Pelodiscus sinensis: one gene and its partners. The protein of the gene in region 1 binds, or shares a complex with, the protein of each later gene. Links are inferred from orthologs where the notes say so. Each region holds a gene or a part of one and is shown in the gene's direction. Other genes may lie near its edges.

Region 1 (7,595 bases):
TACAGCCTCTGTGGAACAGACATTGGACAGGCAAGAAAAACATCCCCAAATCTGCAAACCAGCATGTCTCTGAAGGACCTCATCCTAGCACTAAGGTGGAGTTAACCCTTCCCTCCATGCTCAGATTACAGGCAACCCCCAAATTCGATGCGATCAGTTCCTGGGGAAGCGTCACAAGTCAGAGGCGTCGTAACTCGAACCCACATTTACAATAGGCGCCGTGCACGGTCGTAAATGCGGGCTAAGGACGTAAGTCAGGGGGTTTCAGCCCCTTCCACACTTACAAAAATGGTTGTAAGTGCGGGGGGTTGCAACTCGGGCAATCGTAACGTGGGGGTTTCCTGTAATCGTAGGCCTCTCTAATGAGACTGCCCACTAGAAGATGGGTCAGTGCCAACCGTGGCAGTGGTGGTTTTGAAATAGATACTGGTCCACTAGTATCTAGACTGAGACCCACCAACTAGTTTCACATAATTATAACAAACATCTGATGGTAAAACTTGCCCTCCCTAATAATTTTGCCACACTTACGCAAATAGACAAGTGAGTTTGCACAGAACTTCACTGAAGTTGATTAGGTGCTGCATGGATCCACCCGTGTAGAGCATTATTTTGGAATCAGGGCCTAAGGCTGGATTTGAACCAATTGAAATTTGAGAGGCTCTTTAGCTCATTGCCAGTCCCGTGATATCTCTAATTCTAGTCTTTGTCCTCTCCCATTCTTGAAGTTAAACATACTACGTAAGGCTCTTTAGACGATAACAGAATATCACTTCCCTTTTTAATTACAAGAAAGGAACTAAGGGCACTGCGGATTTTTATGCTAAGTTCAAGCATGGAGTGAACCTAAAATATTGAAATTCAGAACTTCAAGTTGTGCCAGACTGAGCAACAAATTATCTTGATAGCAGCTATTCAAAACAGCTTCCTACTTTAAGAGCCAAAGTCTTTTGTATCTCACAGCATGAGGCAGAAGGAAAGCTTTATCCCCAAGCTCAACACAATGTGAAAATTAAAGCAATAAGTCTTTCAGATTCCCCTACACTTGGGTCGAAAATTAGACTTGGCTGAGAGAAATTATCAGCATGAATTTTCTGCAGACAGCTTTTCCCATCCTAAGAGTGGACTAGCATGTTTATGAACACACATTCTTAGCTAATCTTCTCAAAATTAGTAGATATTGCTTTTCAGAATGACATTAGCAATGTGACTATTTTGAAGTGGTTTTATTTTTAAGACATCTAATGAAATAACACCTGCAATAAAAGTCTCAGCCGGTTCTCAAAACATTAGTATTTACAAAAAAGCGTATTACATTTTTAATCTGAGATTGCCAGTAGAAGGCAGCAGCACTAGAGACTGAAGTCGACTTTACCTCCCTGTCAATGCGCATCAACTCTAGCATAAAGGAGTGAACAAAAATAATGAGCCCAGAAGCCAAGATCACGAGAATGGCTTTAAAAAAACCCATCACTCTGGCACTGCCCCTTTTGATGGCCCTCGGGTCTCATTTCCGTTTCTCTCTCTCTAACCTACATATTCTTTAAACGCTCTACCGAGAATGCCAACAGGAGGTCAGTGTGAGACAGCTGTGACAGTAGTGGGTTTTGTGATGTGGACATTTGCTCTCTATGAACCAGAGTACACAACACAAGCTCATTTTACATTGGTCACTTAGTTTTACTGCCTGTATCTAGGGTTGATTCTGAACTGAAGATTTAAAAATGAAAGGCTCTCTATTATCTCTCAGTATCTTGCACCATTCATGTCTCCCACGCTTCTTTTGTGACCCTAAGCAACACCACACATACCTCTCCTTGGAAGACATCATAGAGTTCAGGTAAAGTCTCCATTGCCTCAGGTCTCACAGACTTCATTTGGGAAGTTTTCTAAGAGTATGCATTCCACAATTCTTTCCCAACCTTTATAGCTTACTTTGTTTCCATGTATTAGATGTCCCATTTATTGCTGTGGAGCAACCCTATTCGTAGCTGAAATAAAGAAAGACACCATTTATTGAAAGAAATATCTTCATTAGTGATAAAAGAAATAAACTCTGGGAAAACTTTTCAGGGATGGTTTTTATCTGCACTGCTTTCACTCTCACTAATTTCTAAATATCTGATACCATAGGGTAAGTCTACACAGATGTGTTATTTCAGAATAAGTGATGTTATTTTGAAATAACCAAATACGCTTCTACACAGCAAGACATTATTTCGAAATAATAGCGAGCTGGAAGACTTCTCACTCTGACTCCTGTAACCCTCATTTCACAAGGGCTGTGTCTACACTGGCACCCTTTTCCGTAAAGGGGATGCTAATGAGACTCTTTGGAATTGCAAATGCCGCAGGGGATTTAAATATCCCCCATGGCATTTGCATGAACATGGTTGCCGCTTTTTTCCGGCTCGGGGTTTTGCCGGAGAAAAGCGCCAGTCTAGACGGGATCTTGCGGAAAATAAACCCTTTTCCGCAAGATCCTGTCTAGACTGGCGCTTTTCTCCAGCAAAACCCCGAGCCGGAAAAAAGCGGCAGCCATGTTCATGCAAATGCCGTGGGGGATATTTAAATCCCCTGTGGCATTTGCAACTCCGAAGTGTCTCATTAGCATCCCTTTTACGGAAAAGGGTGCCAGTGTAGACACAGCCAAGGAGTAAAGGAAGTCAAAAGAAGAGAGTTCTTCCTTCGTCTACCTGCTGTGTAGACAGCGCCAAGAGACGAATTAAGCTATTTTGACTAGGGATGTAAGCGACTGACTACCTGATAAGCAAAAGCTTATCGGATAGTCAACACATTAGTCAACTAGTCACTCCTCCTCCCTCTCCCTCTCCCCTCGCTGCCGCTATCACAAAGAGGCAACAAAGGGTTGAAGAGGAAGGGCGCTGGGGGGAGCCAGCTTAAAAGTCAGTTCCCCCCAGCTCCAGCTCCATGGGATGGGGCGGGGCACAGCAGCAGTAGTGCTTTCTTTTTTAAATGTTCAAGAGTTCCAGTAGGGGCTCTTGTGGATTTCAGAGACTGAAATGCTGCATAGAGCCTGGGGTGGACTCCGAGTCCCCCACTGACCTTAGGCTCCATGAGATGCTTCCTCTTTACAATGCCCAAGAGCCCCCACTGGTGCTCTTGTACATTTCAAAGGTGGAATGTGCACTAGTCCTTATCAATTAAATCCCATCAACTATTCAATCAGTTAATCAATATTTAACATCCCTAATTTCAACTTCAGCTACACAATTGACATAGCTGAAGCTGCGTGGCTTAATTCGACTTTTGTGTAGATGTGTCCATAGTGTCTTGTGCTCACACTATACGTTATGGCAGTGTAATCAAGTGGATAGAGAACAAGTTGAGGAAACAGACAATCCGAGTTCTTCAATGATACAGTTCCCAATAACTTTCAGTACAATTATGAGCAAGTTACTAAACTTTATGCCTCAGTTTCTCCCTGGATAAAAGGGTGCTATGATATATTTCAAAGAGCTTTCTGCAGTAGGGTATGTCAGAAGAGTACCTCAAAAACACTAAGTATTCAAGTACCTAGGCAGATACAGCAAAATATGAACACGTGACTATAAACTGGCTCTGGATAATAACTAGCCAATTTTGCCCTATTCTCAGAATTCAGCCTCACAGACACTTCATTCCTATTTCACAGGGGTAGCCGATGGCCTCAGAGGGGTAGCTGCGTTAGCCTGTAACTTTAAACACAGTCAGTAACCCTAGTCTGTATTTGGGAAAATGAAGAGTCCTGTGGCCCCTTGTAGACTCCACGCAGCTGACCAAGTGGTTTTTACTCAGGAGAGGTTACGCCAAAATAAATCGGTGACTCTAACAGGAGTGTGGAACTTTGGGGGGGGGGTGGCGGCCACGGACCCACAGGAAAGAGTCAGTCGGGAGCCGCACAGAGATGAGCGGCCCCAAACCCAACAACCCCTCACTGCTGGGCTCCCCACATCCCCCTCGCGCACCAGAGCCGGGGGGGGGGGGGGCAGGTTGTGTACCCGTGGGAGGGGCCGGGGGGGGCCGCTCTAGGCTCCCCGCCCCGCTCTGCGAGGGGCCACCGGGCTCCCGGCCGGCTCTCCCGCCGCTGCCCCGGGCGGTTGGAACCCGCTCGCGCCGGGACACAGGCCTGACGCCAGCGGGCGCGCAAAGGGCCCGGCCTGCGCCTGGACGCGACGCTCAGCGGCTCCCGCGGGCAGAAGCAGCGAGCCCGGACCGCGAGCGGGGCCTGCCGAGCGCGGGAAGGGGAAGGGGCTGAGGCCGCGCCGCCCCCTCACCCGCTCAAGGGCGCCGCGGCCGCCGTCATCCCACCTGCACCCCGGTCCCTTCGAGCTGAGGAAGCTTGCGCCCGCCAATCACGGCACGGCATACTCGCGCGGGGTACTTACGGAGCCAATGGGCGCGCCCGATGCTAGAACTCTCCGGCGAATCCCCTAGCCAGCATGGCCAGCGCTGCCCAATCAGCACGCTTGGCGTTCGCAGCCAATCAGAGCGCGGCATCGCGGCCCAATGGGGGCCGGGCGCGGGCGGAGCGAGGCCTAGCGCTGCAGGACGCCCGAGGCCGAGCGGCTGCCGCGGGCCGGGATGATCGAGCCGCAGAAGCGCAAGGGGCCGGTCCCGGAGCTGGCGCTGGTGGCGGCCGCGGCCAAGCGGCCCCGGCATGAGCTGCTGGGGCCCGGCCCGGGCGGGGCGCCGCCCCCGGGGGCCCTGCTGCAGGCGGTGAGCGCGGGGGGCCCGGGATGGGCCGGGCCGCGTCCCCCGCGGGCGGTGACCCCGAGGCTCCCCGGAGGGGCGGGGGCCGGGCCGGGGGGGGCCGCTCAACTCCTGTCGCAACGTGGCTCCGCCTCTTTGGGTCGTTCGTAGCCTCCGCGCTGAACTGACACCGGCCTTGGTGTGACTCGAGACCAGGCCTCTTGCTGCGCGGGGCCTCCGCCTCCCCATCGGAGGTGGGGCCCGTGGCGGGCGGGGTGTGAGACGCGCTTTGCCATTATTATTATTTTGTGTGTGTCAGAAAAGTGGAAATATGACCCGAGTTAAAACTAGTGAAGGAGTTATGGGAGGGGGGGTGTTTTCTGGCCTGCTCCCCCACACCGTCCACCTTCTGGTTCAGAGGTTTCATTAGCTCATTATTTATTATTCTGTTTCATTTCTGTCTGCATTCCCTCTGTGTTTTAGGGCCCTCCACGCTGTTCTTCCCTCCAGGCACCTATAATGCTGCTCTCGGGGCATGAAGGAGAAGTTTACTGTTGCAAGTTTCACCCTAATGGAGCAACTTTAGCATCTGCAGGATTTGACAGACTGATCTGTGAGTTTGTAATGATCAGTAGTTTGTGCTATGAGGGTGGTTTGTTTAAAAAATAATAATAATAATAATACACTGCTGGTGTAAACTGCTTTCCATTCATTCAAGTGCAATGGAGTGACTGAGCTGCTGAGAGCAATGGGGTGAAATGTTGACAGCAGGCCAGTAATGAGCTGTGCGCTTTTGAGCATATTTCAAAAGCGTTGGTAACCTCTTTAATGCCCTAAATCAGCAGTTCCCAACTGCTAGTCCGTGGACCCCTGCTTACCCTGCCAGGCCATGCCCCCAGCTCTGCTTTCTCACAACACTGTACTGTGGGATACATACTCACAGTGCTTTGCTCACACTGTCAATGACAGTGCCCTCAGCGTGAACATGCTCTGTCAGCAGAGGGAGCAAGTGTGAACACCCTCTAGGCAATTTTTGTTTTTATCAATTTTTGGGTGTTGATATACATTTTGTTAACAAAACTTGGTAATGTAGACATACCCTAACTCTTGTAAGAAGCCACATAGTATTGTTACAGTTAGAGCTCTGCAAATCCATGGATATCTGCTTTATATCCCCTGGTATCCACATCCACAGATGTGGATGCAGATATCTGTGACTCATTTTTATGAACGCAGATATACATTTTGGATTCCTGTTTGTATGAATATGGATTTAACTGCAACACTGTAGTTATGGGTTGCACAGCCATACAGGACTATAAAGGGATGAGAAATCCTTCTCCATAAGGACAGCTTGATGTGGGACTCCTTTCATATCCCATCTAATCTGTCAGCTCTCTACATTTAAGAAGGATACAAAATGAAGGGTATAGAAGAGTTAAAACAGATGTTTCTATTTATGCTTATTCATAATACAGGAGCAAAGATGACATTCAGGTTTGTTGAAAGGAAATACTTTTCTACACAATGGATCATTAACCTCTGGGACTCACTGCAACAACATGCTGTTCAACCTAAGAATGTACTAGGGCAGGGATTGTCAACCTTTCAGATGTGACATGCCAAGATTTAATTTATTCACTTCTATTTATGGATCTGTGTGCCACTGATACTTTTTGAAGTCAATAATAGTCCTATTTACATTTTAGCGGCTTCATTAATAAATAAATTAAGATGCAGATTTTTCTGTTTAGTGTGATCCTTGGTCTTGCTTTCCCTTGCTGAGTTCTCCTATTTCAGGCCCTATAGCAATCAGTTAGCCAGTAACTCTCACATTTAGGATTAAAATCCTACTGCTCATATGACTCGGGTTGTGGAACACATTATTAACCAACCGCCTCTGTCTGTTGATGGGGCGCTCAGAGAAGCGAAGTTCCCTGCACTTTGTCAGGGATGGTGCAGCAGCTGGCCTGGCAAGTGGCAGCTGAGGAACAAGTTAATAAGGGTGGCGGCCATGGGGAGACATGGGCCTCCCTACCCTTCCCCCAGATGAGGAGAACTTTCACATCTTCTGTTCCACATATTTAAAAACCTATTTAAAATGAGAGTTTGGCGATTATGCTGAATATTGTAAGTGCTTCATTTTAGTGAGCCCAGGAAGTGTAGCTGTGATGATGTGGGCGTAGAACATAGTTTTATGTGTATTTGGTTTCTTTCCAGTGCTATGGAATGTGTATGGGGACTGTGATAATTATGCCACTCTGAAGGGACACAGTGGAGCAGTTATGGAGTTGCACTATAATACTGATGGCAGGTAAATATCAGATGAAACTGACTTGAGCTGTCATTAGCCTACCTTGATGATGTTTCCAAATGAACTCTGTGAAATGTTTGGGGAGAGAGTTGGTATGAAAAGCTGCTAGATGAAGCCAGTAACCTTTGGATAAAACTTGTAAAAGGTACCTGCAACTGGCAAGTGGGGAACTAGCTGCTGGTGAATGTAAGTTGCTTTACAGCTCCTCTTCATTGCTTCAGTGCTCACCTGGTGGCTCTGAAGAGAAAAAGCAATGGTGCTCTTTGAATGGCTCCCCCTCCCAGAAATAGCTCCACACGCTACGTCTGTTGTAGAGTGCAGGAGCAAAGAGTAGAACCTAAGTGGCAAGTTCCAAGGCTCATGGATGGGAAGCAGATCTAAAGCCAGGCGTCCCGTCCCATCCCGCCCCTAGCAAGTGAATCTGTGGGAAAGTGGATGGGAGAGACAACGAAGGAACAATTCAGGATAAGAAAAGGAAAACTAGGAAGGCGATGTTGGCAGCTTTCCAGATTATCCAATGCTATCTGAGGTTTTTACAAAAGAGATGGCTCCCCCTCCCCCATCATCCTGAGCAGGGTCAAGAAGATGA
Region 2 (7,813 bases), on another chromosome or scaffold:
TCTCTCTCTCTCACACACACACAGAGAAGAAAATATTGACTCCATAGCCCTTTTGTTTGCTTTCCCCAGCCCCACTGATGGGTTCTACAGCACCCATTGAGGAAGCCAACAGCTTGGGGAAGCTGCTAGCAGCAGACACAACTCTCCTAGGAACAGACATTATTACTGGTTGCTTTTGACAGGGTCTTCCAGACCCTCACTCAAACAATATTCATCCCCCACTTCAGGCCCATGAGTGCTACAAACCAGAGCATCTGAGTGCATTGTCTGGCTCTGCAGCTAGTGGGGATGTAATTATAGAACATGGCCCCGCTTGATTATTACAGGAGGATGATAAAAGGAAGAATCAGGGAGCGACAGATGGTCCTGGGCAGCCCATTGTTTGATCAGAAACCTGCTCAATCTCTAAATAGCTCAAGCCTGTAACATCAGTTAGCGGGAACATGCTGCACCTTCTGAACAGTGACAAGGACAGACTCGTATACATTTCGTTACATCAAAACAAGGCCAGGAGGAAAGGATTTAATCTCGTTAAAAGAAGACCGAGGTCAATATTCCGTGGGGAACCCAACATGTTTTTCTAAAGAACCGAGTGTAAATCTATCTGAGAGCAAAATGGAAAAGGATGGTGGGGTTGCTACAGAGACAAGATAGATGAAGCGGTATCTTGTTTTGGTCCAACCTCTGTATTGGTTCAACCTCTTGAAAGAGACAAGCTTTCAAGCTACACAGAACTGTTCTTCAGGTCTGGGAAAGGTACTCAGATATGTCACCGCTAAATACAAGGTGGAACAGATTGTTTGGCATAAGTAGTTAACACATAGGCTATGTCTACACTCGCGGTTTCTTGCGCAAGTAATATGCAAATGAGGCTAAGCGTGGAATATCGCCGAGCCTCATTTGCATACCTAATGAGCCACCGTTTTTTTCAGAAGAGGCTCTTGCACAAGAAGGAGCGTCTACACTGCCCCGTCTTGCGCAAGAAAAACCCTCTTGCGCAATGCTGTTACACCTATTACTTTTCAGGAAGAATGGCGTTGCGCAAGAGGGTTTTTCTTGCGCAAGAAGGGGCAGTGTAGACGCTCCTTCTTGTGCAAGAGCCTCTTCTGAAAAAAACGGTGGCTCATTAGGTATGCAAATGAGGCTCGGCGATATTCCACGCTTAGCCTCATTTGCATATTACTTGTGCAAGAAGCCGCTAGTATAGACATAGCCATATTGTAAGAGACCATGCAAAATTCCTCTCAGTCACATATGCCCCGCAACAGGGGTTATTCCAGAGGATGCCTGCGTAGCTCACGTTAGAATCTAGTCCCCTTTTAGTCCTTAGCAGACATGATCCACATGACATGAGAAAAGCTCAGAAGGGAACTGCTCAGTTATTGCAGTGGTGGTGGTGGGGCTGTATAAGTACCAGAGAGGGAGGGATGAGGTGCTTTGGCTGAACAGAGTGAGAGCTCATGTTTAGAATAGCTGGGGATGCTGTAGACCAGAATGAGATGCATCAGCAGGGGCCTTGGGATTAGAATAGTGATGGAGACTGTAGATAAGGACTATGTGCATGGGCAGAGCTGGGGTGGCACTGGAACGGGAATGCCAGAGGTCATTGTAGATCAGGATTGAGGTGCATTGGCAGAACTTGAGGTGCATTGATACCAAGCTGGGAGCGGTTGCAAGTGCTCTGGAGAATAGGGTCATAATTCAAAATGATTTGGACAAACTGGAGAAATGGTCTGAGGCAAATAGGTTGAAGTTTAATAAGGACAAATGCGAAGTACTGCACTTAGGAAGGAACAATGAGTTTCACACATACAGGATGGGAAGTGACGGTCTAGGAAGGAGTGCTGCAGAAAAGGATCTAGGGTTAATAGTGCACCACAAGCTAAAAATGAGCCAACAGTGTAACACTGTTACAGAAAAAAAGCAAACATGATTCTGGGATTCACTAACAGGAGTGCTGTGAGCAAGACACGAGAAGTTATTCTTTCGCTCTACTCTGCCCTGATTCTGCCTCAGTTGGAGTGTTGTGTCCAATTCTGGGCACCACATTTCAAGAAAGATGTGGAGAAATTGGAGAAGGTCCAGAGAAGAGCAACAAAAATGATGAAAGGGCTAGAAAACATGAGCTATGAGGGAAGACTGAAAGAATCGGGCTTGTTTAGTTTAGAAAAGAGAAGACTGAGAGGATAAGATGCAATGGGCTTAAAATGCAATAAGGGAGGTTTAGGTTGGACATTAGGAAAAACTTCCTGTCAGGATGGTTAAACACTGGAATAGTGTAGGGAGGCTGTGGAGTCTCCATCACTAGAGATATTTAACAGCAGATTGGATAGTAATCTGTCAGGGATGATCTAGACCAGGGGTGGACAAAAGCCTCTTAGCAGGTGGGATCTGGCCCTCCTAGGGCTTTGATCGGGCTTGCAAGGCAGTTCCAGGCCCCACCCCCGAGTGCAGGGGTCGGCAACCTACGGCATGTGGGCAACTTATGGCAAGCAAATCAATTTTCAGCAGCACGTGGGAGGAAGCTCAGCCCTGCCCTTCCTCCCCCATGAAGCTGCTGGAGAGCGCTCCCTCCTCCCTGCAGTGTGGATGAAAATGAAGCTTTTTCGGGAAAACGGCCGTTTTTCTGAAAAAAACTCTGTAGTGTAGACATACCCTCAGGTGCAGCCACATCAGTGAGCGCTGGAGATTTTTGGAGGAGTTTTTTTGCTTCTCACTTGTGTGGTCCCCAAGTGATTTTTCTGTGGGTCAGTGCTGGGTGGCTACCAGGCAACAGGTTAGCAGCAGGGCCAGGAGCTGCCAGCCATGTTATGTGAATTCTAAGCCTCCACCCCAGACAACTCTGGGAGGAGGCTAGCCTCCAGCACCCTCCATTGGCCAGAAGTCAGGAGGTCGGGACCCGAGGCCAAGCAAAGCTCTCCACAGGGTAGTCGTCAATCCCACTCCTTCCGCCCAATGCCCCACCCCTTCTGGGTCAGCCCGCGGCCACTTCTGAAATTTGTGAAGTGGCCCCCTTCAAAAATTATTGCCCACTCCTAATCTAGACGGTGCTTGGTCCTGCCATGAGGGAAGGGGAGTGGACTTGATGACCTCTCGAGGTCCCTTCCAGTTCTAGTACTCTGACTCTATAACTGTATTTGTCTGACCATACAGTCTGAAGAGAGTGTTCCCAGTCTTTCCTGTACTGGGCACTAACACACTTGAAAACTGGGCATCACCTCTAGAAATGAGACACTGCCTGTAGGTGGCTTCTGCTACCCACAGGGAGGCTGGTACGATTTGGAGATGCATCCACTCTGAGCGGAACATGCCAAATCATTTCACACCAGCCACTAAAGAAGAGAAAGACTTTTGGTTATTTCTTAGGTGACCAGAGAGCAAATGTGAAAAATTGGGATGCAGGGGAGTAATGGAAGGGGGGGTAATATGGTCCTTTTTAAGACAAAGCCCCTAATTTCAGAATGGTCTTGATAATATCATGATGTCTGGTCACCCTAGTTACTCCTGACCCTGACACAAAGGGAACTATATAACTCATCCCACTCCCAATCCTTTGAGCCATCCAGGATCACCAATAAATCCCCCACCAAATACACTGAATCCTCTTTACTGGAGGATAATGGTGATACCCCATGCTGCCAACCACACTCTTTGCTTGGCTAGTTCAAAGTTGGGAGCCAAATGATTTGCATTGGGGACGCTTTCTGCTCACAGGAAGCAAAGCAAGGTTGCAAGAAGATGAGACACAGGTGCGAGGAGGAATTAACCTTTCAGGTGCCATAAGCTTGGGGATACACATGCTTCCTAAGCATTTTGTTGGCAGGCTGGAAAAGAGCAGTGTTCTTGGTATTCAGAAACAGCTGCTACTGACTCAGAGTAGCTTATAATAATCTTTTCTATTAGCTCCTTTCAGACATAGGGATTGCAAAGAGCTTTACCATGGGAACGCAGGCACCTCTAGGCTGGGGTGTGGGAGGCGTTTAACAGGGCACAGTAGTCTGGGAAGAGACCTGCTGTACTGTAACAGCCAAAGGTGGAGTTTGGCCAGGAAAGAAAGGCTAATGCCCAATACTACCTAGGAGTGCGTGGGGCTCCGCAGTGTTCGGCTTTCCCCCGTTCAGAAGGGAGCACCCAGCAGGCCAGGGTGCTTGCACCAGCCTCTCACCTGCAGGGCAGGGAAGCATTTCCCAGCCTGGGCCCTCGGGCTAGTCTCATTAATGCCCCCAGGAGCCACAGCACAACTGCCTGAAGCAGAGCAGCCCAGGGGGGGCGGCATCAGACCCTCTCCTAGCTGGGAGGGGTAGCTGCTCTCTCTGGGCAGCCCCTGAAAAGGGAAAGCTCCCTTCTGAGGCCCCTGTTTCCCTCTCCCCTCCTGGGGCGCTCCTGCCCCTCCCCTTCCTGGGGCCCCCTGCTTCCCCCTCCCCTCCTGGGGCGCTCCTCCCCCTCCCCCTCCCCTCCTGGGGCGCTCCTGCCCCTCCCCTTCCTGGGGCCCCCTGCTTCCCCCTCCCCTCCTGGGGCGCTCCTACCCCTCCCCCTCCCCTCCTGGGGCACTCCTACCCCTCCCCCTCCCATCCTGGGGCACTCCTACCCCTCCCCCTCCCATCCTGGGGCACTCCTACCCCTCCCCCTCCCATCCTGGGGCCCCTGCTTCCCCCACCCATCCTGGGGCGCTCCTACCCCTCCCCCTCCCCTCCTGGGGCGCTCCTGCCCCCCCCCCCCCATCCTGGGGCCCCTGCTTCCTCCTCCCCTCCTGGGCGCTCCTGCCCCTCCCCCCGTGCTGGGGGCCCTGCTCCGCTCCTCTCCCAGACACAGCAAGCGGAGCCAGAGGCTGCGGTTCCCCCTCCCCGCCGCCAGGGGGCCCAGCGCGGCGCTGCTGCCGGCTGCTTCCTTTCCGCTCCAGCCCGGCCCGTCTCGTTGGCGCCGGTGGGTCCTTCTCTCCGCTCCTTGCCGGCCCCTCTCGTTGGCGGCGGAAGATGGCGGAAGAAAGCCCCGTCTGCAGCTTCCTGTTCAAGAAGCGGGGCCCGGCCGCCGGTAGGGGGCGACGCAAGCGGCCGGGCAGCGACCAGGAGCAGGGTGAGGCTGGGGGGTCGCTCCCCTGCCGCGGACCGTGCCATTATCGCGGGGAGGGGTGGTGGTGAACGATGCGTTTCGGGCTATGCCATTTGTACTCGGGGGGGGGGAGGGTTTCTAGGTTTGTCTCATTATCACTGGAGACGGTTTCTGGATTGATCCATTATCAGTAGGAAAGGGGGGAGATTCCGGGGTAGGCTGCCCCACTGTCACTGGGGAAAGGGGGGTTCTGGGCTGCCCTAAAGTGTGTGTGTGGGGGGGGGAGGGGTGTTGGGCTGTCCCACTGTTACTGGGGAAAGGGGGGTTCTGGGCTGCTCTAAAGTGTGTGTGGGGGGGAGGGGTGTTGGGCTGTCCCACTGTTACTGGAGAAAGGGGGGTTCTGGGCTGCTCTAAAGAGTGGGGGGAGGGGTGTTGGGCTGTCCCACTGTTACTGGGGAAAGGGGGGTTCTGGGCTGCTCTAAAGTGTGTGTGGGGGGGAGGGGTGTTGGGCTGTCCCACTGTTACTGGAGAAAGGGGGGTTCTGGGCTGCTCTAAAGTGTGGGGGGGGAGGGGTGTTGGGCTGTCCCACTGTTACTGGAGAAAGGGGGGTTCTGGGCTGCTCTAAAGTGTGGGGGGGGAGGGGTGTTGGGCTGTCCCACTGTTACTGGAGAAAGGGGGGTTCTGGGCTGCCCTGAAGTGTAGGGGAAGTTGGGCTGTCCCACTATTACTGGGGAAGGGGTTGAGGGTTTCTGGGTTGCCCTAATGGCATGGGAGAGGCAAGGCGTCTGGACAGTGCCACTGTCCTGGTGGGTGGGGGAGCCCTGACATCCTGGAGAGGCCTGGGGGCGCCCTCCCCACTCACCCCTCCCCCTTGGTTGCTCCTGCCCCATGGGACTCTTGAACTGATGGTGCCTTTTTCCCTTGGAGGGGCCGGGGGCCCCCCAAGGGCTGGTGCCCAGCCTCTTGCGCAGGCTGAGTGGCCCCCAAAAGCCCCGTGCTCAGGCCCTGGCATGTGGGGGTGCCCCTTGGGGTGAAGGGACATGGGGCCAGGGCCTGACCCAGCCCAGCTGCTCCTGCCCCTCAGGGCCCTTGAACTGATGGCGTCTTGTCCTCCGCAGGGAGTAGCAGCGATGAGGGGAGCACGGTGGTCAGGAAGGAGAGGCGGCGGGACACCCACAACCCCATGATCCAGAAGGTGACCAAGCCCATCACAGAGATGCCCAGCTCCATGCCTTGTCCAGTTACTGCATCCCACCCTGTGTGGGACCAAACTCCTGGTCAAGTGGGGGTGGGATGGGTCCCACATTCGGCCCCTGGAAATCCCTGGGGGGGGGTGCCAACACCATGAAACTGCTCAGCAGCTGGTTTGCCAGCACCCTCCCTCAGCTGTTGCAGTGTCATACACCCAGCCTATGGATCCAGCCAGTTATACATTTTATTTGGGCTCATGACAGATTCAGACTATACAGAATTCAGGTTCTCACCTAACAGCCCCCCTGCCTCCAAAAACAAAAGAAAACCCATCCCTCTGTTTTGAGCCCATTTGATTATGGGAAAATTCTTTCAAATGTGCAGACAGTAATTGATGCAGAAGTGACTTCTGGGGTATGCAATGCCCCACGGTCAGAGAGGTGAACTTTCCTCTCAAGGGGGTAATTTATGTTTCAAAGCCTAATGAGGATATACAAAGGACTAGATTTTACTAATCTGTGAGCATAAATGCACAGGTTGGGTAAATGCATATGAAAATGGCCAGCATAGGGCAGTAAGTGGAAGATCTAAAAGATCTAAAAGTATCCTGTGTGACTTTTACCCAGTGTGATGCAGTATGCCACAATAACTTCAGTTAACTTCAGTAACTGAAAATCTAGGCTACTGCTTTGCTGGTATAACTATACTGGTGTATTATGTCAGCAAAGGGGTTCTAGTGTGGATGCAGTTTCTATTGATTTTACCAGTATATCTTATTTCATCCCCCACCCCAAGAAAGAGTAATATCAGCATCAGTGAAGTTTTGCCTGTATAGTAGTATCTGCTGGCACTGCTAGGAGGGGTCAGGGATCACACCCTGGCATGACAGAAGCATACTGGCAGAATTCTAAAGCTATGGCTATCCCCTGAAGCAGTTAAGCTGTGTAAGGATTCTATGGCTTGTTTGATTTTTCTCAGACCTCCTATTGTTATCCAGTGGAGATGCACGGCAGATTGAGGGAAACGAAAAGTTCTGGCATTGTAGGCTCACAGATCCAAATTAAACCTATAACTTGGCTCTCTTAATGCAAGAATTTTACTCTGTGATGCCCCTTGATCTAGGAGAATCAAAGGAGTTTTGCTCTGCCCTCCTTCCAGCCCAGCGGTGGCTGCATTAAACCAATGCTTTGTGGATATGGGCCCTGATTTTGACAATTTTTCACTCCACTGATTTGCTTTCCTGGGCTGCAACACTGTCTCTGGCCAACCAGGAGAACATGTCTGGGTGTTGTGTTGTGTGGATCTTTCTCAGTTCTTCAGATATTTGCCTTTCCATCTTTCAGACCAGGAAAAGTGATAAAGAGAAGACCTCGTATGGGGCAAGCAGCAGTGATGATGAGGGGGAATCGCAAGGAATTGGTGTCGCTTACAAATCAACGAGATCAGCGGTAAGCACAATGCGCCACATGGCTTTAAAAGGGATCAGAAGGGACACTAAGATCACTTACTCTGGTCTCTGTTATGCAGACTATGTCATTGGTTGGTTTTATGATTGGGCGCCATGGTCAGGTTT
Region 3 (7,578 bases), on another chromosome or scaffold:
GCCTTCTAAGTTGACAGCCTAGCAGGGTAGTTTCATTCAACATGTGATCTCATAATCTTAACAAAGATCTCTGGTTCAGTTTGTGTCAACATGTCCAGCTGTGGTAGTATTAGTAATGTAGACTCACATCATGTTCTTTCAGGTAAGATAGCATTCCTAGTAATACAAAGTTTTATTTCTAGACTTAACAGCTGAGTTTCATTTGTCCATCATACAGGCAGTCACTGTTAGCACAAATCCTTTAATTAGGGTAGAGAATCATACCTTATTGCTTCTATCAAAATTCAGGTCTTCTGTCTCATCTACAATTGATGCAATATTCTACTAACCTATTTGTAAGGTGAGAGGATGAATTATTGGTGGACACTTCTGAGGCTGCAAATGTGTTTTGCACTAAACTACTGCAATCTCCAGATGACTTTTTATTACAGTTAGATAGCAATTTAAGTGTGATTCAGGTCAGATTGTTGCTTTTTATGATGTAAATGAAATCAAATAATGTAAAACTTCTCTACTGTGTTTATTGACCCTCATGCTAATGGTCCAAAGTATTCCATATTTAAAGAACAGTCACAATGTAGAAGATACACTTCATATTATTTTCTTAGTCACCTGATTATCTACTTTTTGGTTATGTGGGGATTACCTGTGGAAGAAAGAATATAAATCTTTGGGATGACAGTCTTCTGCTAAATTCCATGTTTGCACTTAGGGGAAGTGGCAGCAGCTTGCTTTTTACGCATGATAAAACTAAAAAAATTAAGCTCTGAATATTTTTGCTGATTATCAATAAATGTGTGTCTTAAATTTAGTGCTTCCAAATCTACATAAAATCTGAATCAAGGACCAATTTTAAAATATTTTGTCACTTTTATGATTTGTTAAACTAGACATGAAATTTGCTTATGGCACTGTGCATTGTTTAATATTTCCTGTAAGTACAGTTGTATATTCAGATTGCAATTATGAAGATTAAATATTAGGAAAAAAAGTAGAATACTAGGGTTAGCACGGTTGTCATTAATGGCCTAGCACACAAAACACTGCATCATCAGTGTTTCATTGTGTTATGATTGAAAATATGTACAGTTTTTTGCAATAACAATTCATTTTAATCTTGAATGTTTCTGAAGGCCTCTTTGGTTTTGTTAAACATTACCTGTTCATAAGTGCTAGTAATAAAAATGCAAAGTACATGTTGCTTTTAGATGCTACAGTGGAAATATCAGTTGACAGTTTAACTGAGAAATTCTTTCTAACTTAATCTCAGACATCAACTCTGTAATGGGTAAGAAAGTATAAGAACTCTATAGTTAAATATTTAAATAATGGTTTGTATGCCTCATTGGCAGGTGATGTTTTGAAATGTAGTCCAGCTGTCTTACTATGTGTATCTAAATCTTTCCTTGCATCTCCTGTTAAGAGTTTGCTGCAACAAAGACAAAACCTGGACAGCTAATATAACCACATAGCAAGAACTAGATTAATGTAGGTTTTGAGACTTGGAAGGGCATCTGTATTCCAATGCTTTGCAAGGAGATTGTGTACTGTATCTAAGTTTGCATATGATGTACTCATAAATTACAATAAAACTTTAATCTTTTCTAGATCCTGACAGTTGTTCCTGTATTTTAGTTGATGGGTTTAAAAATGCAAACTTTAAAAATTATTTCTTGGAAATGGCTGATCATCAGGTACATTCTGAGCAGTTAATCTGTAAATACAAAATTAAAGCCTTCTATTTTTATACTTAAAACTTTTAATGGATTAGTTTAAAAATAAGATTTTAATTAGCAAATATGTTCCATTTTCCTCTGCCAACTATGAACTTTACCTTTCTGAAAAACAAAGCATTTGGGGAGACACAGGAGAAGTTTAAAAATAACACGTGAAGTTAAAACAAAAAACAGGACTATGTAGCACTTTAAAGACTAACAAGATGGTTTATTAGGTGATGAGCTTTCGTGGGTCAGACCCACTTCCTCAGATCAAATAGTAGAAGAAAATTGTCACAACCATATATACCAAAGATGGTGACAATTTTCTTCCACTATTTGATCTGAGAAAGTGGGTCTGGCCCATGAAAGCTAATCACCTAATAAACCATCTTGTTAGTCTTTAAAGTGCTACATAGTCCTGTTTTTTGTTTCAGCTACACCAGACTAACATGGCTACATTTCTATCACCTGAAGTTAGACTCCCTACTTGACTCAATTCTTTGTCCACCCCTTTACAAGGCCAACTTAGACCACCAGCACTGTTTTTTATTGGCTCAGTGTTAGATACATGAGGGCTGCATCTACACTGGCAAGTTTTTCCGCCAAAGCAATTGCTTTGGTGGAAAAACTTGCCAGCTGTCTACACTGGCCGTTTTGAATTTGCGCAAGAACACTGACGATCTAATGTAAGATTGTCAGTGTCCTTCCGCAAATACAATGACTCTCCCATTTGGGAAAAAAACCTCTTGCGCAAATGCAAGATGGCTCTGCACATTGCTGTATTGTCTTTCTCCCTCGGGGGAGAGAGAGGATCAGCAATGCACCAAAGCATTTCTCCAGAAGCTTTCCCCCACTGCTGTGATAGCAGCAGGTGGTGCCTAGGAGTGGGCGGGGCATAGTCATGTGTGCCCTTGGGAATGGGGTGCCAGGTAACTGCCTCATTACCATAACCCTCCCAGCTTCTTCCGTGGTCTGCAAAAATTCCTTAATCCATCATACTCTCTTTCCCAAGGTTGCCAGATTAGAGGTACAAGTGTATTACAATGGGTCCTTCTATATTTGGTTTAATTCTTTCTTTATATCCTCAGCATTAGAGGAATTGGTAGACTCCCAGGGAATCAATGTTTTATCAGAAACCTGCTTAAAAAAAGATTCCTGGAGAAGCACTCTTATGAATATACTCTATCAGGGTATTTCTAAACTCTGAATCAAAACATTTGGTAGACCTAGGACTCTACCCTTAAATTTAAGAGACCAAGTGTGCATTTATATCAAGACACAAACTAACAGCCTGGCTACGTCTACACTGGCCCCTTTTCCGAAAGGGGCATGCTAATTTTAAACTTCAGAATAGGGAAATCCGCGGGGGATTTAAATAAAGATGTCCGCCGCTTTTTTCCGGCTTGTAGATAAGCCGGAAAAAAGCGTCTAGACTGGCCCGATCCTCCGGAATAAAGCCCTATTCCGGAGGATCTCTTATTCCGACTTTGAAGTAGGAATAAGAGATCCTCCGGAATAGGGCTTTATTTCGGAGGATCGGGCCAGTCTAGACGCTTTTTTCCGGCTTATCTACAAGCCGGAAAAAAGCGGTGGACATCTTTATTTAAATCCCACAGGGGATATTTAAATCCCCTGTGGATTTCCCTATTCTGAAGTTTAAAATTAGCATACCCCTTTTGGAAAAGGGGCCAGTGTAGACGTAGCCCCTGGGTTTATTGGTTAATTCAAAGGAACACACACCTTCCTTCCTGCCTCTATTGGGGGAGAGGTAGGCAGGAGCCAGTACCCTTGAGTGGGCTTTTAACATGGCTCCTTGTGCATGCTGGTTCCCATGCAGCTCCCTTCTCCTCCTCCTTCCCCCCCCCCAGTAGTGTGGGGAGCAGGCAAAAGCTGATGCTAGGAGCTGGCTTAAATGGGCAGCACTTGGGAGGGGAGGGGAAGAGAATGCTGGAACATCCTATTGGCAGAAAGCTTGGGATTTTTAAACCTAGTTCTACTGTGGACCAGCTCTGCCTGCCACTCCACACTGTTTCCTGTGATATGGAGGCAGAAGCATGGGATGGCAGGGGGCTTCCCCAGGAGTGAAGCGGGGAGCTGGTAGTGCAATGGCTGTCAGTCTCTGCCCCAGGAGAAACATTTTTAATAACCAGGTAACCATTAAAAATTGTTGTGACTATATGATTACTAAAATATCTAACATCCCTATTAAAAATATCATAATCCATAGGTAGTACTACTACACATTAATGTGAATGTGGTCCTGAAATGTATTCAGCCCTCCAGTGCAGGATAGCAGCTTATCTGATGTCATAAAGGGTAATTTTGGTTCAAAGTATTTCCTTAAAAAATGCCATTGAGTCTCTACTGCCAATCCAAAGCAGCACTGATATTGGTGGAGAGGGGGTACTAATCATTCAATAAAGGCATACAACTAAAGCAGAAATGTCTGTTGTTCACAATCCCTTGCATTTGTTGAACACTGCGTGTCGCGTACTCCTCTGTACCATAACGGAAACTTAATCAATGTCCTTTGCTAGTTGATTGATGCGTAGGAGGGGTCCACATTTTGGCTGCGAGAGTCTCCTCTTTAAGCCCAGCCTTGTCCTAAACGTCTTGACTTTTGAGGCAAAACTGGGCTTTTGCGCAGTTTGCTTTCGCGTGGGGGAAGGGAAGCAAGCAGGACCCCTGCCGTCCCTGAGCCAGCGCGCCGGTGCGAGACAGAGCCGCTCGCGGGGGGAGTGCGCTACAGCCGAGGGGCCGCGCTGAAGCCGCTGCCCTTTGGCCAGGCCCTCGCTGCCGGCGGAGCAGGGCTGGCCCGGCCCCCACAAGGCGGGAGGCGAGGGCCCCCGCCCCTCGCCTTAACGCACATCCGGCCGCGAGGAGCGGCGCTTCCGGCTATTGAGTCGCGCGACGCTCAGTCGCGCCAGCGCTGTTTCATTCACCGAGCGCCGGAGCGGCCTGGTCCGAGGCCTCCGCCCCGAGCTCAATTTTTTTTTTCTTTCTCCCCGTGCCCGGGTTGCCGCTCTGTGGTCCCGGCCGGCCTGACGCCCCCGCTCCGCCGCCATGAAGCTCGTGAGGTGAGATGGGCCCGGATGGAGGCGGATTCGGGGGCGGGCAGCGGCGGGAAAGGAGCGCGAGCGCTGGGCCGCAACCTGGGCCTTCCGCCGTCTCGTGCCGCGCCGGCTGCTCGCGCGCACCTCACTCTTCTCCCCCCCCCCCCGCCTCGCGCCGGGCGTCCCGTTCCACAGCGGGTGGAAGCAGGGCGCAGCTGTGCACCCCCCGTGCAGGTTCCGGGAGCCCCTCCCCCTAGAGCGCGCAGTTGTCTCGAGGTGGCCGTTGCCACCCGCCCCCTCCCCACGGGCCGCTCCTGTCCCCAACGGCCCCGTAAGGAACGTGACTGTTAACATCACGCACGTGACTTCTTCCACCCCCCCCACTACGGCCTGTGGCCCCTGGGCGGCGAGTCTCTGCCAGAGACTCCTGCCCGGCCGGTGCCTTCGCCCTTTGCTCGCTGGTTGCGACTCCTAAGTCTTTCCTCGCCCCGCGCGCACACGTGGATGAGCCTGGTTATGGATAAAAGAAAGTGTCATTGCCCCATGGGGGGGAGGGTCATTTCCCGCCTGTTTAAATGCGACTCTCATTGTTACACAAGTGTCTACTAGCCAGAAGAGTTACTCCCTGATAACTGCGAGACGGGGGAGTAAGGGGAAGTGTGGCTCCCCTCTTGGGGAGTGTTGCTAAAACTCAGCAAGACTGGGACTCCCTTGTCCCTAGCTGGGCCACAAAGAACGCTTATTCCCAACACCATATGTCCCTGCTAAACAATAACTTGAACAATTCTTAAAAGTTACATTTTTCAGTGTCGGTATTGTTCATGTCGTGCACTTCATTCAGTTTGTGCAAATGAAAATAGATTAGTTTGTTGTATTGTCACTTTCACTTTAGGATTGGTAAACAGTGCAATGATTTTTGGGCTACAATGACTGTTTAATACAAAAGGGTTATTTAGGGTTATTGAACATACTTTTACCATTGACAGTTTTGTAAAACCGTTTTTTTTTTTTAACAAAACAGCTCCTGGGATAAGTAAGCCTATTTCTGTTTAAATATTGTTGTTCCAACTATAAAAGCAGTAGGACTAGAACAGATTGCTTAGGGAGATTTGTTGAAGCTCCTTCACAGGAGGCTTTTGAAAAGGCTGGATAGCCATCTGCTGTTTTTGTTGGTTTAGATGTAACAAATCCTGCCTCTTGGCAAGGGGTTAGAAGAGATGACCCTCAGTGTCCCTTATAGCCCTGTGATTTAGGGCCATACCAAATTCACAGTCCATTTTGGATACTTTCAGCATCATAGGATTTTAAAAATCTTAAATTTCATTATTTCAGCTATTGAAATCTGAAGTTTCATTATATTCTAAATGTAGGGATTCAACTCAAAAAGGAGTTATGGGGGACTCAAGGTACTACAATCCTTACTTTTATGCCGTTGCTAATGGCAGCACTATCTTCAATGCTGGGCATCTGAAGGATAGCAGCTGCTGGCTGGGAGCTGAGTTCTGAAGACAGAATCACTGCCAGCAGCAGCTCAGAGGTAAGAATGATTGGGTGTGCTGCCGCCTGTTGAGCTGGACGCTCCGTCATCAGTTACCATGCTCCAGCTGCCCAGCTCTGAAGGCAATGATGCAGAATTAAGGATGGAAGGTATGGTATTGCTACCCTTACTTCTGTGCTTCTGCTGCCTGGGTGCTGCCTTCAGAGCTGAGTGCCTGGCAAGGAGCTGCTGCTTTTCAGCTGCCCAACTCTGAAGGCAGCACAGAACTAAGGATGGTAATACCACAACCACCTCTCCCCCTCCCCCCAAAATAACTCCCCTGCACCTCCGTTTTGGGTCAAGGCCCTCAGTTTAAAAAATGCTGATCTCCCCAATTAAATCTGTATAGTAGAGGGTAAAAGTGCACAAAAGCCTAGATTTCACTATCTGATATTCCTTTTTTATGGTTGTGAATACTTTACTTGGTTATTTGCCCCATAGCAATGACTGTAGTTCCTGTATTTATTTTGTTAAAAAGCAAAGCTTGTCTTAAATGACTGTCAGGTAACTAGTAAATGTTTTTTGCTGAATTAATGCATTATAATGCTTAGATGCCAAATGCGTATCAGAATTGTACTTAAACTCTTTGTGGATTCTTTGGAACAGTTTCCAGTCAGGATGCTTAGGAATGGTGTGTACAGTCATCACTGGCTTTTTTTGGTTGGTTGTAGCAGTTCCTCAGAGTTCATACAGAATTACCTTTTTTGGAATATTATGAGGTTTGAGATCACTTCATATTGTTTGTAATGCATATGCCAGGGCCTAGGTGAGTTAAGGAAAGTGGTAGAACCTCATTTTCCTAAGTTCTGATGATATGAGACAAGACTTTTACAAAACATTTTCAGAAAAGCCATATAGTTGATTATTACTGTATTGTCATATGGGAATGGAAGTTCTGCTTTTCAACTTCACTTTTATTTTTCAGGTTTCTAATGAAATTGAGTCATGAAACCGTGACCATTGAACTGAAGAATGGAACACAAGTGCATGGAACAATTACAGGTATGGAATTCAAGATGATGGAGACTAAAAACCAAAATAATTAAGGAATTGATAGACAAAGGAAAATCCATTCTCTTCTAAAGAGACTCCACTGTGATAGCTAAATGAGTCGTCTTAGGAGATGGATTCTGTGAAAAATGTGGTGGCAAATAAAATCACCTCACAAGCAGTAGCATAAGAAACATCATTTTAGGGTTTTTCCTTATTCAGGGGTGTGGTTTTTTTTCCCTTTGCGGTGAATGTTTAGACTGTACGTGTATCTTTAATT

What was found.
Region 2: SNRNP40 (region 1) and E3 ubiquitin-protein ligase RNF113A-like share a complex: the UniProt entries of both Homo sapiens proteins name them as parts of the pre-catalytic and catalytic spliceosome complex. The link is inferred for Pelodiscus sinensis from reciprocal best matches to the Homo sapiens genes SNRNP40 and RNF113A.
Region 3: SNRNP40 (region 1) and SNRPD1 share a complex: the UniProt entries of both Homo sapiens proteins name them as parts of the U4/U6-U5 tri-snRNP complex. The link is inferred for Pelodiscus sinensis from reciprocal best matches to the Homo sapiens genes SNRNP40 and SNRPD1.

What each region holds. Positions count from the first base shown.
Region 1 is NC_134735.1:17,396,192-17,403,786, reverse strand, and holds the start of SNRNP40 (U5 small nuclear ribonucleoprotein 40 kDa protein), read left to right. Parts: upstream 1-4,581; 5' UTR 4,582-4,584; coding exon 4,585-4,719; intron 4,720-5,175; coding exon 5,176-5,305; intron 5,306-6,912; coding exon 6,913-7,006; intron 7,007-7,595. Other genes in the region: ZCCHC17 (zinc finger CCHC domain-containing protein 17), read right to left, coding at 1,812-1,877. UniProt on the Homo sapiens protein: Required for pre-mRNA splicing as component of the activated spliceosome. Component of the U5 small nuclear ribonucleoprotein (snRNP) complex and the U4/U6-U5 tri-snRNP complex, building blocks of the spliceosome.
Region 2 is NC_134739.1:6,622,840-6,630,652, forward strand, and holds the start of E3 ubiquitin-protein ligase RNF113A-like, read left to right. Parts: upstream 1-4,810; 5' UTR 4,811-4,973; coding exon 4,974-5,073; intron 5,074-6,167; coding exon 6,168-6,244; intron 6,245-7,583; coding exon 7,584-7,688; intron 7,689-7,813. UniProt on the Homo sapiens protein: Required for pre-mRNA splicing as component of the spliceosome. As a component of the minor spliceosome, involved in the splicing of U12-type introns in pre-mRNAs. E3 ubiquitin-protein ligase that catalyzes the transfer of ubiquitin onto target proteins.
Region 3 is NC_134712.1:178,735,880-178,743,457, forward strand, and holds the start of SNRPD1 (small nuclear ribonucleoprotein Sm D1), read left to right. Parts: upstream 1-4,575; 5' UTR 4,576-4,781; coding exon 4,782-4,795; intron 4,796-7,233; coding exon 7,234-7,310; intron 7,311-7,578. UniProt on the Homo sapiens protein: Plays a role in pre-mRNA splicing as a core component of the spliceosomal U1, U2, U4 and U5 small nuclear ribonucleoproteins (snRNPs), the building blocks of the spliceosome.